Astyanax mexicanus: one gene and its partner. The protein of the gene in region 2 interacts with the protein of the main gene of each other region in a biochemical or structural test. Links are inferred from orthologs where the notes say so. Each region holds a gene or a part of one and is shown on either strand. Other genes may lie near its edges.

Region 1 (7,205 bases), on a different chromosome or scaffold from region 2:
ACCTATACTACTACTGGACTCGACCCTACTTGGCTTTGCTTTTCTACTGGGCAAATATGCTGCCTGTTATCTGTCACCAAGTACTCTTTTTAGTATGCTAAAAAGTAACTTGTAAACCTTGTATTGAAAGTAAGGGGTGGGAGTAAAACCAAAAACCCAGGAGCAGTCCAGGAGTAGAACTAAAATGTGTAGGTACCAAACAATGGAAAAGTTCCACAGCAGAGTCAGTCCTTAATTATGTATACTGGTATTTTGTGTTTTATACGGACAAGGTGTAAGGAAAGAAATGGTACACAGTACCTTAAATAATTCAAAGACCATGTGATACAAATGGGATGGCACATAAACCACAGTTATGGGCTTATTAGGTTCTTTAACTGCAGAGAACAAAACAAACAAAAAAAAAACAACAGAAAACTACATTTATTTCTCTACATTTTTAAGTATCATAAATACATGAAGTAAATGAAAATGATTTTGTGATTACCATTAAATTCTTCCAGTTGTAATTCTGGTGAGTTCATGTAGTATCTGTCACATAATGATCTAGCATTTTCATACGCATCTGCAACAGCAACAAATAAACACTTAGTATCACTTACTGTCCTTCCATTTCAGTGACAAGAACAGCCAAACCAAGCCTTGATAATGACATCAGCTTGACATATAATCTGACAGCTCAGATTTCTTACCTTTAACCACATCAGTGACACAACAGTGAGGATCAATACCTCCTATTTGTTTTGGATGAGCTGGGTTCACGCGTACACGTCCTCCAAACAGAAGAGCTGCAATGGATATGAAAAAAAAGTATGTTTATAAATGTGTTATTCATACAATAAGAAGAAAAATAAGAGGAAGAACATGTCTAAGACAATAACAGGTCGAATTAAGACAATAACAGGATCTCACTGTGCTGGTTGAGGAGCATTCTGATGGAGATTCTGCTCATGTAGAAGCGGTCCAAAAAGTATTGCATATTCTGGCTGGTTATTGGGTCAGTACCATACGCCTCCTTATACTCCACCACTCCCTGAGCCATGGTGGGCACCACATCATTATGTCGGTTGCGGATCTTTATCACTGCATCCGTGAAACTAAAGAGCAGCAGCAGCAGCAACTTAGGCTACGTTCACATTACAAGCAACATTGCTCAAATACAATTTTTTGCTCAGATCTTGATGGTTCACATTCACAAATGTAAGTGACCTGTATCTGTGTGTAATGTAAACGAATTTTGTCGCTGAATCGCTTCACATGCGTTCATTGATACGTGTATAGTATACATGTACGTCGCCTTCTTTCCAACAACCAAAAAAACATCATATTTGAGAGACGACTCGTAGCTTTATAAAGGTGAAATGGATGCGTTAGCAGCTCATATGTGGAGCATCTTTTGCTTGAATGGAGAAACAGCAAACAACTGGTCTGAAGTTCACGCTCAGGTCGAGGAGGAGAAAAAAGGCCGGACGGTTTGCTTTTGCTGTTTTTGCAGCTACAGCTGCACCAAGAGATGTGTGGGTACTGGAAGCACATAGCGCATGCGTTAAAGCAAGAAGACGCATGAATTCCGATTTGACCGTTCACATTCATGCCGCATGTCCATGAATCGGACATGTATCTGATTTAGGACCGCATATATGTGTGACTTAAATCTGATTAAAAAAAAAAAGGATTTGGATTGTTCACACAGCCATGAAAAAATCAGATCACTTCAGCCTGGGTAATGTGAACATAGCCATAGTGACACGTTAAGATGCATAAAAACACAAACATTGCTAAATAGAATCTACCCAGATGTTTATAGAATAGATGTTTATATACTTACTCAAAAGTCACTTTTTCATCATTGGCATCTCTGTCCTTGAACTCAAGGATATCCTTGAGACTTTGCATGTACCTGGTGAGATATGGCAAACAAAAAGCAATGAGTAACTGAGCAGTGATTAAACAGTTCTAGTTTACGGTCCAGTCCAGTGTATAGTAGTTAGTTACACTCACCAGCTTTGCACTAAGCGCACTGAAGGCGTCCTCAGTAGGTTATCAGGCAGTAAGTTAATCTCTTTCATAATGTTTGCAAGCCTGACTGGCAGTTCCTGCCTCAGGAACGTGAATGAGGTTTTTTCACAGGCATTATCTGAACCTGGGGAGGAAAATTAAGACATACAATGACAAACAACAATATTTAGGTTTGGTTAAAAACCAAACCAAACCCAACCAAACTCTGCTGATTTTAGTGCTCATATAATAGCTAGAAACTTACCAAAATCTAAGAACTGTTTCATAGACAGAGGAGAGGGGGAAAATCTGGAATACTGATCCACCAGCTTGCCAATGGAAGCATTGTTCATTAGAGTCCTTAAAATCCGCATGATGTTAGGCAGGTGTCAGCCATCAATCGGGGGGAAATTCTGATTTAAGATCTAATAAGATAGCTAACTATGCAGCTAAACGTCTTGTTTTTACAGAGAAATTATTCTATATGACTCTATCTAGCTACTGTAAAGCTAACTAGATAATTAGTGATTAAACAGTGATTAAACAGTTAGATAGTAGGGCTAGCCAACTGACTAGTTATCTAGGTTAACTAACTAGCGAGTCACTAGCTTTCCTGGGTAGCCAGCTAACTAGCTAGGTTGAGTATGTGTCTCTCCACAGGCTGGCTGAATCTAAGCTCTGTTCCTATGTAGGTTAGCCTAGGTAACCTAGCTAAGTAGTTTCACTGTCAGAACGCCGGATTCTTCACTGCAGTACTTGTAAACAGACTGTGCTGATCCAGCTACACTGTCCGTCACTCATACCGCCGCGCTGCTGCTTCACTTTCTCTTTCAGCTGAACGCTCTGGAGAGAACCTCCTACCACGAGATATGCGCGTGTGCTGTTTATCTTCACCCATTAAACGCTGTATGATTCCAGAAACGAGGAGAAACACACTTCCAGTAACGGCCAGACCACAAGCTAAACTCGCCTGAGTGACACTCCACTCTTCCGCCACTGAGCGGCGCAAAGCCCCGCGCTGTCTCCGTGCGTCATCATGCAGTACGGCTGATAAGATGCCTGAATATAACTTTACATAAACTAGCAAATATATGGGGGAAGAAAAAGAGACCACTTAAGTTTCCGAATCAGTTTCTCCGATTTTGCTCTGATTTATAGGTATATGTTTGAGTAAAATTAACATTGTTGTTTTATTCTATAAACTACGGACAACATTCCTCCCAAATTCCAAATAAAAATATTGTCATTTAGAGCATTTATTTGCAGAAATGGGAAATGGTTGAACAAAAAAGATGCAGAGCTTTCAGAAAATGTCCCTTCCTTCTCTGACTCTAAAAGACATCTCAGACTGTAAGGGTGTTCTGTAAATTAGTGCTGTTTATCTGTAAGAACCTGACTATGCGATATTTATTGCAATACGCTTTTCAATATATTCTGATATATTTTGATATTGTAGGTAAGGTTTATAGACTGAAATTTTCTGGAAAAAAACCCACCCTTATTAAGTATATAATTTATACAACTTATAACAGTGCATAGTCGTGCTTCAGTAAAAGTTTAGTAAAACTAGAGCCGGGTTATGAAGATTATCTCCTCTTTATATCAGAAAATCCCAGATAACCGCTAGAGGGAGCCCACGAGTGAGTCCAAAATGAATGGGGTTAATGATTAAATAAACATTTTTAAAAGAGTAAGAATATACTTTTCCCGAATTTTGACATTTTTGAAAGTACATTAATGTTTAAAGGTTAAAAGGTTTAATAAATATGTTGTTGGGCATATGTTTTAGTTCTGTGTTGAGGAAATTATTTTTAATTCAGTAAAAAAAGATTAAACATTTAAAAAATCAGATTATGCCTAATTGCTCCGAATGAACACATTTATTTTTAACCTACTGTGGAGCGCCCTCTGGTGGTAAAACAATAAGGTGGATTATTTTCCCCACTATTATATACATATATAGTGCAAGGTTTAATATTACAATACGAACAACATAATACTTCATTTCATAATACTTTATTTTGGATGCAAAATATATGCATATTTTTTATTTATAAATAAGTGCTGTCATGATGAAATACTTTGTATTATGCTCTTTAGCAAAATAGGTATATGTTTGAGTAAAATTGTAAAAATAAACAAATAAATAAATAAATAACACTGTGGTTTTATTCTATAAACTACGCAAAACATTTCTCCCAAATTCCAAATAAAAATATTGTCATTTAGAGCATTTATTTGCAGAAAATGTTTGTGAAGATTTCCTCACGGTGATGTTTCAAACTTCACCACAAGAGGGCGCCATAAACACACAATTAAGCGTATGTTAATTCCTTACTAACTACATACTCTAACGTGAAACGGAACAGCTTACCCATAAATCCCTTTTTTTATTTAAACAAAAATACATGCATTAACTACACATCTCATTCCTCTTTTAAGTCATTTTAACTCATTTAAATACACAGACACAGCTTTTTATAATATACATTTAATAATATATTAATTTCGACAAATAAAATCTTTGGTTGGGGTAGATAAGATTTCCAGCGAAGACTTCACAATTCAAACCAATCTTCAAATTTTATATTTACCCTGTGACCAGCTATATTATAAAAATACTAATATTAGAATATTAATAGAGTAATTAAAAACATTGAATGCATATGCATACATATTATGGAACATTTTAAATGTACTTAAAAATAATCATATATGCAAAATGTTATTTATTAGCAAAAACTGCCCTAATGTAATAGATAGATAGATAGATAGATAGATAGATAGATAGATAGATAGATAGATAGATAGATAGATAGATAGAATTTAAATTATTGACAGTAACCATACATTTATATATAATATAATGCAATATAAATGTCACTATGAATAATACCGTCTATACTATACTATAGAATAAATATAAACAATGAAAACATATTAAAGTATGTAAACATTAAAGGTGTATTTAAACAGTGAACAGCCCAGAGTTTAAGCTGAGATGTGTAAATATAAGCTATAAACGCATAAAGTTAAGTTTGTAAGGAAACAGGTCCAGTGTGTGGTCGGTGTGTTCTGCTGCAGCGCGGTTTGACGCTTCTCGGCCGCCGTTATTCGTCACCACCGCTCGCGCTGAAGCAGGAAACGGGTGAATGGTTCGTGCCAACAACAGCGGTTTCAGAAGCCACAGCAGAGACACGAACTAACGGGTTGGTTTGAGTCTTTTAACCGGTTTAAAGTTTTTAAAACAACACTTTCTAACATTCTCACGCTTTATGTGCTTCTGCGTTTAGATATCTTAGGGTTTTTAGTATAGTTTAGTGAGTGCTGGTCTCGGGGAATGGCTGTGAGTTAGCTCTGCTTTAGCTGTAGTTGAAGGTTTGAGCATCGCGGCTACAGGATGAGAGCTGTGTGTTTACTGCTGGACATGTAGTCAGTGAGGGAACTCTGCTGATAGCTGAACACGCTGTATTGTTATGAGTTTAGTGATTTTTTAGCCATGACTGGCTGCCTGACCGAGCTGTGCGGTGTATATTTGAAAGCTGACCGCGCTGAGCTGCTCTCAGATGCTGCAGTGCAGCCGGGCTGGACTCTCGGTTTGGGTGCAGCCCAGTAGCTCCACAGCTGAAATTAGACGTTAAAAATTCTCTACAGAAATAAAGAAACAGTTGACTTTTACACTGCTACGATATTAAAGCTTCTTTTTAGTCTTTGTGTTTGTGCTGTGCAGTTGTTCTAACCGTCACCAGCATTTGTCACCAGAAAGCCATGGTGACAAATGCCGCACACACCCTTCAAAATCCGTGTAAATCAATTCCAGCACTTTAACTCATGAACATATATATATATATATATATATATATATATATATATATATATATATATATATATATATACACACAGAGCTCTGGAAAAATTATAAGACCACTTCAGTTTCTGAATCAGTTTCTCTGATTTTGCTTTTTATAGGTATAGGTTTGAGTAAAATGAACATTGTTGTTTTATTCTATAAACTACAGAGAACATTTCTCCCAAATTCCAAATAAAAAAGTTGTCATTTAGAGCATTTATTTGCAGAAAATGAGAAATGGCTGAAATAACAAAAAAATGCTGAGCTTTTAGACCTTGAATAATGCGAAGAAAACAGGTTCATATTCATTAAAAATTTAGGTGGAATAACCTGGTTTTTAATCACAGTTTTCATGCATCTTGGCATGTTCTCCTCCACCAGTCTTACACACTGCTATTGGATAACTTTATGCCACTTCTGGTGCAAAAATTCAAGCAGTTCAGCTTGAATTCAGTTCAGTTTGATGGCTTGTTATTATCCATCTTCCTCTTGATTATATTTCAGGGTTTTTTTTATTTGGTAAAATCAAAGAAAACATTTTTATGTGGTCTCATATATGCAAAACATCTTTATTAAAGAACACTTTCTTAGAGTGATTCAAATCAAGTATACACTTCTGCAACAAAATGAAAGTTACCTTTATTATTGCGTACAATATGACACTGCACACCCCTAACTGAGATATTAAAAGATCCAAGAATTTTATCAGATTTGTAACAGATGTCAGTAATTCATAATGTCATGATACTAATAATGCACTCCAAATATCTCCATATATCTAAGATTAAAGTAAAATGAATGATACTGGACAGATATAATCTGTCTCTATTAGATATATAATGGGGAAACGAGAACAGTGTGAATTTTTTGCCTGAAAAGGGAGTTTCTAAATCTGCATTACAGAGATCTTGAGTTCCTTACTTACCAATTGTAATCAACTAGTGTTTGTTAGATAGACAATCATTTCATTTATTTATTTAAAACTAAAATAAGAAGCTATCTTTTTGTTCAGAGATTAAATATTTTTATACACCTTTTTATAAGGTGTTTTTCTAATACATGCTTTACCTCTGAGTAATTGATTAACAGTTAATCATTTTTAGTAAATTACAGCTGAACATGTTGGCCAGCCTGACGTGTCTGGGTAATTTTATAAATCTCTGCTGAGTTGTGTTCAATAGCTTGAACAGGATGAAATTCAATAATTAATAAATACATGGTAACTATAGTAATAATCAAATAATAATGGTAACAGTAAGAAGAATGTGTTGTTATTGATTTAATCTTAATTTAGGACAGCATATTCAGATGCCTGTCACTGTCTAGTGTTTTCATTATATTTCTTTAATCTTTATCA
Region 2 (7,284 bases):
CTATATATTCTAATACATATAAGTTGGTATAATTGAGCACTTTACCTTTCCATAGCCACCTTTGCCTAAAACTCGCAATAGCTCAAAGCACTCCGGGCGTATGCTCTCTGTGCCTTGGTTTACACTGTCTTCAGATATCTCGATCTTCTCACAGTCATCCATATTGCTGAGAAAAAAGTAAAAGAAACAAATGAAAAGGCAATGCAAACAGCAGTGTTTAATCTAAAGATGCACAAATATAGAAATGCAAGCAGACGCTGGTGTCAAAAGCCATGGATATTTTTAAATCCCCTGTTCTGCCTTTATAGCAAACTACACAAAACAAAAATGCATGGTACATTATACAGTATTATATACAGGGAGTAGATAACTGAAAAGTAATTTTATAAAAGCAATTTTATTACAGTTAGTTCCGACCCTGCAACATGATTGGCTAAAAGGAGTTCTACGAGTGCCGTAATCAGCCGGTAATGCACAGTAACCGAAGCTCTTCACGTATTACCCCACCACATACAGGTAACCTAGCAACAATGCAGCGCTTACAAGCCAAACAGAGCAGCTACAAACAGAGCAGCAATAGAACTATTTTACAAATCGTATTTTCTCGTCCTCTTTAATTCAAAATCTTTTAATAAACAGTGATCATGGAACTGTGGTATAATCGCAATAATACTCTCGAGGTTTGTGCTATAACGTGTAATATTGGCACTGCTGAGCTGATTTACGGCACTCAGCCTGCAAAGCCAATATTACACGTTACAGCACTCCCTCTTGTGTATTATTGCTTAATTGCCTGATGACAATACTGTGATTCTAGCATCTCTCCTGTTTCCTGAAATAGCAGATCAGTAATTGTCTTTAAACTCTTCACTAAATCTAATGCATATCATTTTATTATGTTATTTTTAATGTGTATCTAGATTTGACGCACCAATTTTTATTTTTTTGTCCGAAGCTTAATAAATGAAACTTTCAGCCAAAGGTCTAACAGTTTTAATGAGTTTTAATTTATTTTGGCATGTTTGTTCAGTACTACATAAATGAAATAGTCTGAATGTATTTTTGTCTTACTTGTTCAAGTTAAAAAACTAATACAAAAACTACAATTTAAATATATAATTGAACTTTGCAAACTTTTTTCCCTTTAACAAATAAAATTATCATTTTAAAAAGTTCTTTTTATAAAAGTGCTTTTTATATTTACCCAGGATATCTTTGCCTGATATTAAAATTTGTTTGATAATCGGGCAAATATCAGTATGACAAAAAAGCAAAAACAAAAGAAATCTGTAAAGGTGCAAAAACTTATATATAGCTCTGAAACAAATTAAGAGACCTCTTCAGTTTCTGAATCAGTTTATTTGATTTAGCTATTTATAGGTTTATGTTTGAGTAAAATGAACATTGTTGTTTTATTCTATAAACCACTAAAACATTTTTTTTCCAAATTCCAAATAAAAATATTGTCATTTAGAGTATTTTTGCAGAAAAAGAAAAATGGCTGAAATAAGAGAGAGAACTTTCAGACATATTTATAAAGTTTTAACAGATCAGAAATCAATATTTAGTTTCCATGCATCTTGGCATGTTCTCCTCCACCAGTCTTACACACTGCTTTTGGATAACTTTATGCCACTCACTCCTGGTGCAAAAATTCAAGCAGTTCAGCTTGATTTGATGGCTTGTGATCATCCATCTTCCTTTTGATTATACTCTCATTTTTATGTGGTCTCTTTTTTTCCAAAGCTATATATAAACAGCTGACAGAAGAAATAGCAAAATAAAGCTTTACTGAAATGTAAAATAGCATAGGATACTCACAACTCAAAGCCACTGCACTGATCCATAAAGTCATTGATCTGTGCCTATACAGAAATAAAACAGGAGGATCATCAGTCAAACTGGGAAAAAGCTGATCGGCATTCCCAGTATGCTCTTCTGGAAACTTGAGAGCTGATATTTCATTAGGAGCCCTGCGAGATGACAGCTAGCGCTAGCTATTTCTGAAAGAGGAGGAGGAGGAGGGTTTGCTGGAGAGACAGAGCACTTTATCCGACTAATCTAACTAACGCTACACGACACTGCAGCTTCTCCTGAACTAACCTAGCTAACTAACGGTGTCACTGGAAACCAGCATGCCTTATACAGTAACTCTATACTGGAGCAATGGGAGGAACAGGGCTGCTCAGCAAGCGTGTGTGTCAAATGTGACAACTTCAGGACTGTGTAGCTCAGTTAAGAAGCTACACTAGTTAGGTTAGTTATAATGAACCGACAATATCACTTTATTCTAGATGCAGCACAATGCATATTACGGTAAAAATACAACTGGTAGGGAATTAAAAGCCTAAAATTCAAGGAAATCCACGAAATGCACGTATTCACCACGAAAATCGATCGTTATCTGGTTCACACACATAGCAGGCAGGCAGCAGGCAAGCCACAACACGATAACTACGCTAAGCTAAGCTATCTACTACAGGGCTTCCCTTTAACCAGATAGCTGGTTAGCTAGCGTGGATTTAAAAACATTTAAAGACAGTTTTAGAAAAAAAAACGACAAATGACTGCAAAGCGGACGAATTGATTAAAAAGGTGCACATTTAATCTGCACACCTGCATAAGAATAGGTGGAATATTTTGTCTAATATTGCAGAAATTAGCATTAGTACACAGGCAGCTAGCTAGCACAACACCTATGCTATGCTAGCTTATGCTAAGCTAAGCTAGCTGGTGTGTTGTTGGCTCTCCAGGCCCAGGGCTCGGCGCGGCCTGCCAGCAGGGCGTATGGAGCAGCGGAGCGGCAGTTACTCACCTCCTCCAGCTCGTCATCGGAGACATTCTCCTCCGGCTGGTCCAGATCGATGTCGAAAACCCCGGCCATCGTTTATTTCGCTGCGCTGATCCACCGTAACCGAGAGACCGAGAGAGAAGGCTGCGCTTCCCGCCTCATGGACATGAACACACCGTCGCCATGACCGGCTACGGCACGAGCATGCGCACAACGAGCCCAACAGGGGGCGTTATTTTACTATTATACACCAGTATACAGATTTTTAGAACAATAGAGCAAAATAATAAATAATAAATAACTAATAATTAATCCGCATGTTCCCCAAACCTAAAAGAAAATTAGTTTAATTATTCAGTAGGTTTTACCATCCAAGTCTTTTAGACCATATACTTTATGTATTATACAATATATAAATTGATAATATGTACATACAGTAACTGTTACCAGTCTAAGGAAGTTTGGACACATCTCATCTCATTCAATGTGTTACCTTTTTATTATTTTATATATATATATTTTTTTTACATTGCAAATTTAATATTGAATACGTTAAAGCTATACAGGAGCACATGTAGAATTGGAAGTGTTACAAACCAGAATAGGTTTTATACATTTTATTTAGCTATAAGGGCAGATCTGCACACTCGTGGTATTTTCTCAGCATCTTGAAGGAGTTCCTGGAGGTGCTGAATTCCGTATGTGTCCCTTAATTGTTTTAATGTCTTTAATATTAATCTACAATGTATAAAACAAATTAAACAAAAAACATAAAGAATAGCATTGAATGAGAAAGTGTGTTTAAACCTTAGACTGGTACTGTATATATTATACCTTTGTATATAAAAAAATGAGTGTAGAAACAGTGATGTGCCCAGATAGCAAAAGAAGGTTGAATCAACGTACTGTTTATAGTATACTTTCCTTACATTAAATATGTATATTGTATAAAAGGACGGGACTCTTATTGTGACGTTCTAGCTCCGGTAAATCTTAATTGTGCCTGATTCACTTACCTGTTCCAGAAACAGAGCTGACCACATTTAGTAGGCTCAGAGTTAAAGTTAGGAGCTGACCTTCATCCAAGTTAATCTTAGTTCTTCAAGTCTTCATAGTACATTTTCTCACAGTCAATGATGAAACGTAAGTCATGCTGTTGTGTTTTTTGCATGTATCTCCGTTTGTGTTTACTCCTTTATCCGTATATATGCTGAGCTAGTCAGGATATTGTCTGGATGTATTGTGTAGCCTACATTTCCTAACATGTCTTAAGGTGTAGAGTATAATCCCTACATGTTTCTAAGTTACAAGTTATAAGTGTTTTAGCACTATCTGCCTCGATGTTATGTGAGAATATTTCGAGTAAAAGTTTCTTTGTCCTCGTGAAATACACGTCACGTGCGTGCTCTAGTTGCACTACCTAATTTGGCCACTAGGGGGCTTCAGAGACTGTTTAATAGCTGCTCTATGACTGAGCTGTTCTCTTTATTAGAAATTCCCAGTGATTCAAGTTTGCATTGTAAAAGAAGTGTGGCACTTATGTACTTTATGTAATGTAAAGTAAATGCAGACCTTTATTTTTATTTTATAGTGCCTTATTTCTTATTGCTATTTCTTTTCTTTTCCTTTCCAGACTGTAGATGTATATGTAAACCTTAAAGGGGATGTCCAGTAAATGTGAATGTGAACCTGTGAATACACGTGAATACATGTGAATTCAGATCTGAGCTTCTTCAGTAAATGTTATCATCACCTTTAAAAATAAACCTCATCGTCTCCTCATCATTCCCTTACCTGGCATTCTAATCGATGCCCCATCTTGGATAACTCCTAACACCTAAACGAACCTCATATCCCTATAGCCTTCCCAATATTGGTCCTTCGAGCCGGATCGGAGTATTCAAGATGGAGTATGGTGAAGAGATGATGCCTGACGTGCGTCCCAAACGGCAAATACGTCGACCTCCCTGGCTTGATGATTATGAGGTGGACTATCACATGGGCTCAACAGCTCCCTCAGCAGGGATGTATTCAAATCATTCAAGTCCTCTAACCTCACATACTCGTCCCAGTAGCCGCCAGAGGGATGCTGCTTACACCGAGATTCCTCAGCTAGCCCTCAGCTACCCCCAAGGGAGAGATCTGACCAGTGAGGACCTCCTACCTGAATACCCTCACCTGCAACGCTCACACCTAGCCTCCCACTTCACAACAGAGTTGAGAGCCATCCAAGAGGAGAACGCTAAGCTGCTTCAAACAAGGCACCATGTTGAGTCAGGCATAGCAGAGCTCAACAAGGCACGAAGCGAGATTAAAGAGCTAATAGAGGTGGCACGCTTACTGAGAACAGACATTGGGCAGTCCAATGCCCCTGCATCGAACTACCACACATACCAACCTCCACCACCCAGTGCTGCAGATACAAGTCGTTTCCTTGTTGTACAGCCTAATGACGAGGAGGAGGAAGAGGAAGCGTGGCCCGACCCTCCAGTGTGGTGCAAGCCTGAGGAGGAACTGAATGAAGGCATGTACAACTTAAAGCTTGAGGCACCAAAGCCAGGCTACAGCCAACCCCCTTATGCCTCATTACAACCTTCGTACACGCCTTACAAGCTCCCACCTCCGATGCAGCCTCAACTCCCACCTCCAATATCTGTGGCTCGTAGAGGGGTACCAGCCTACTACACGCATGCACAGTACCCCCAACCTCAACCTCCTGTGTCATTCTCACAGCCACTTGCTCATCCTACTCCAGCCTATGCCCAACCATGGCCTGCATCACCTAGCTCAGCGTACCCTCCACCATTAGTCCACAGAGTGGGACCTGCTGCGCCCACACCTTACCTACCTCTGCATTCCTCAGTGCCTGAAGAGCACTATAGGGGTCCAAAACCCACTATCCCCAAGTTTGCTCGCCCAGATCCTAGCGACTTTGCTCGGCTACGTATAGCTCTGGGGAACCTGCTCCCATCTAACGCTACAGAACTCTTCAAGTACCAAATACTTGTAGACCACCTGAAGCTAGATGAAGCTAAGCTCATTGCTGATGCCTACCTAAACTCACCGACACCTTACTCTGACACAATGTCTGCTTTATACGATAAATTCGGTCAACCTCATCAGCTTGCCATTAGAAGAATTCGGAGTGTCCTGGGGGCCCCTGAAGTTAAGCGCGGTGACATACCCGCCTTTGAGGCGTTCTCACTCCAAATTCAGTCACTTGTGGGCCTACTGAAGACCGTAGGACCTGAAGGGGAGATTGAACTCCACTGTGGCTCACATGTAGCCAACCTCCTCAGCAAGCTCCCTCCTGAACTACGAGCTAACTTTCGCCGATATCAGTTAAAGCATTCCAGAGCTGTCCACACGTTGCACAACTTGTCAGAGTGGCTCCGCCATGAATCATGGTGTCAAGGCACCGATGAGTTGGCCCCTGAGAAATACAGTAAGGAGAAACAGAATACAAAGAGTGAGGGCCGTCAGGCAAAGAAGACAGTATCAGTCCTGCATGGTGCTGGTGAAGTTCCACAGTCCGCTTCCCAGTCACCTGCGAAGAAGAAACCAAAGCCCAAAGCCTACTGTGCCTACTGCGAGAGTACAGAGCACTACCTCAGTCAGTGCACTGGAGTAGCTAAGCTCTCCAAGGATCAGCTAAGAGAGTGGATCCAATCCAACAAGCGTTGTTGGCGCTGCGCACGAGCTCACCAGGCAGCGCAGTGCACGCTTAAGAAACCCTGCAACGTCTGTCAAGGGAAGCATCTCCTCGCCCTCCACGAAATAAATGTGAGGACTGACAAGGCTCCGAGGAACGTGTCAGCAAAGGAAGATGGCTCCGTGAACAGTACTGCCTCTGACACACTCTACCTTGATAGACCTGGAGCAAGCAACCGTGCTCTGCTAAAAGTTGTCCCTGTGCTTGTTCACTGCTGTGGAAGGACCTTCAATACCTTTGCGATCCTCGATGATGGGTCTGAGAGGACAATGCTGTTGCCCTTGGCAGCAAAATCCCTCGCATTACGGGGAACGCCTGAAGTCCTACCATTGCGCACAGTCCGTCAGGATATCCAGGTGCTCCACGGGCACACGGTTTCGTTCCGTGTCTCTCCTGCTGCCACACCTCAGGTCAGTTACCAGATAGATGGTGCCTTCACCGCAAGCCGTCTCACTTTAGCCCAATATACTTACCCTATTGAGCACCTTCAACGCAAGTTCAGACATCTGCGTGGCATCCCCCTACCTGCCTTCCAGGGAGCCAAGCCATGTCTCCTGATCGGCTCTGACCAGCCTCACCTAATAACCCCTGTCGAACACGTACGACTTGGCCCACCGGGTAGCCCAGCAGCAGTTCACACTCGCCTGGGATGGACTCTTCAAGGCCCTATCCAGCCCATGGGCCGGACACCGCACACCACAGAGTGTCTGTTCATCTCTGCCACTCCACCGCAGGAAGAGGTCCTCAAGCATGTCCAACGACTCTGGCAAGTGGACGCGCT

What was found.
Region 1: the proteins of rps6kb1b (region 2) and pdk1 form a complex in vitro, tested with the Homo sapiens proteins (2 studies listed by BioGRID and IntAct, with this or other methods). The link is inferred for Astyanax mexicanus from reciprocal best matches to the Homo sapiens genes RPS6KB1 and PDK1.

The regions. Positions count from the first base shown.
Region 1 is NC_064418.1:31,059,873-31,067,077, reverse strand, and holds the start of pdk1 (pyruvate dehydrogenase (acetyl-transferring) kinase isozyme 1, mitochondrial), read right to left. Parts: upstream 3,008-7,205; 5' UTR 2,373-3,007; coding exon 2,264-2,372; intron 2,144-2,263; coding exon 2,002-2,143; intron 1,901-2,001; coding exon 1,829-1,900; intron 1,098-1,828; coding exon 913-1,097; intron 789-912; coding exon 693-788; intron 566-692; coding exon 488-565; intron 378-487; coding exon 301-377; intron 1-300. UniProt on the Homo sapiens protein: Kinase that plays a key role in regulation of glucose and fatty acid metabolism and homeostasis via phosphorylation of the pyruvate dehydrogenase subunits PDHA1 and PDHA2.
Region 2 is NC_064425.1:6,352,619-6,359,902, forward strand, and holds the start of rps6kb1b (ribosomal protein S6 kinase beta-1), read right to left. Parts: upstream 3,013-7,284; 5' UTR 2,885-3,012; coding exon 2,816-2,884; intron 1,866-2,815; coding exon 1,822-1,865; intron 167-1,821; coding exon 46-166; intron 1-45. Other genes in the region: uncharacterized protein LOC125782590, read left to right, coding at 4,697-7,284. UniProt on the Homo sapiens protein: Serine/threonine-protein kinase that acts downstream of mTOR signaling in response to growth factors and nutrients to promote cell proliferation, cell growth and cell cycle progression.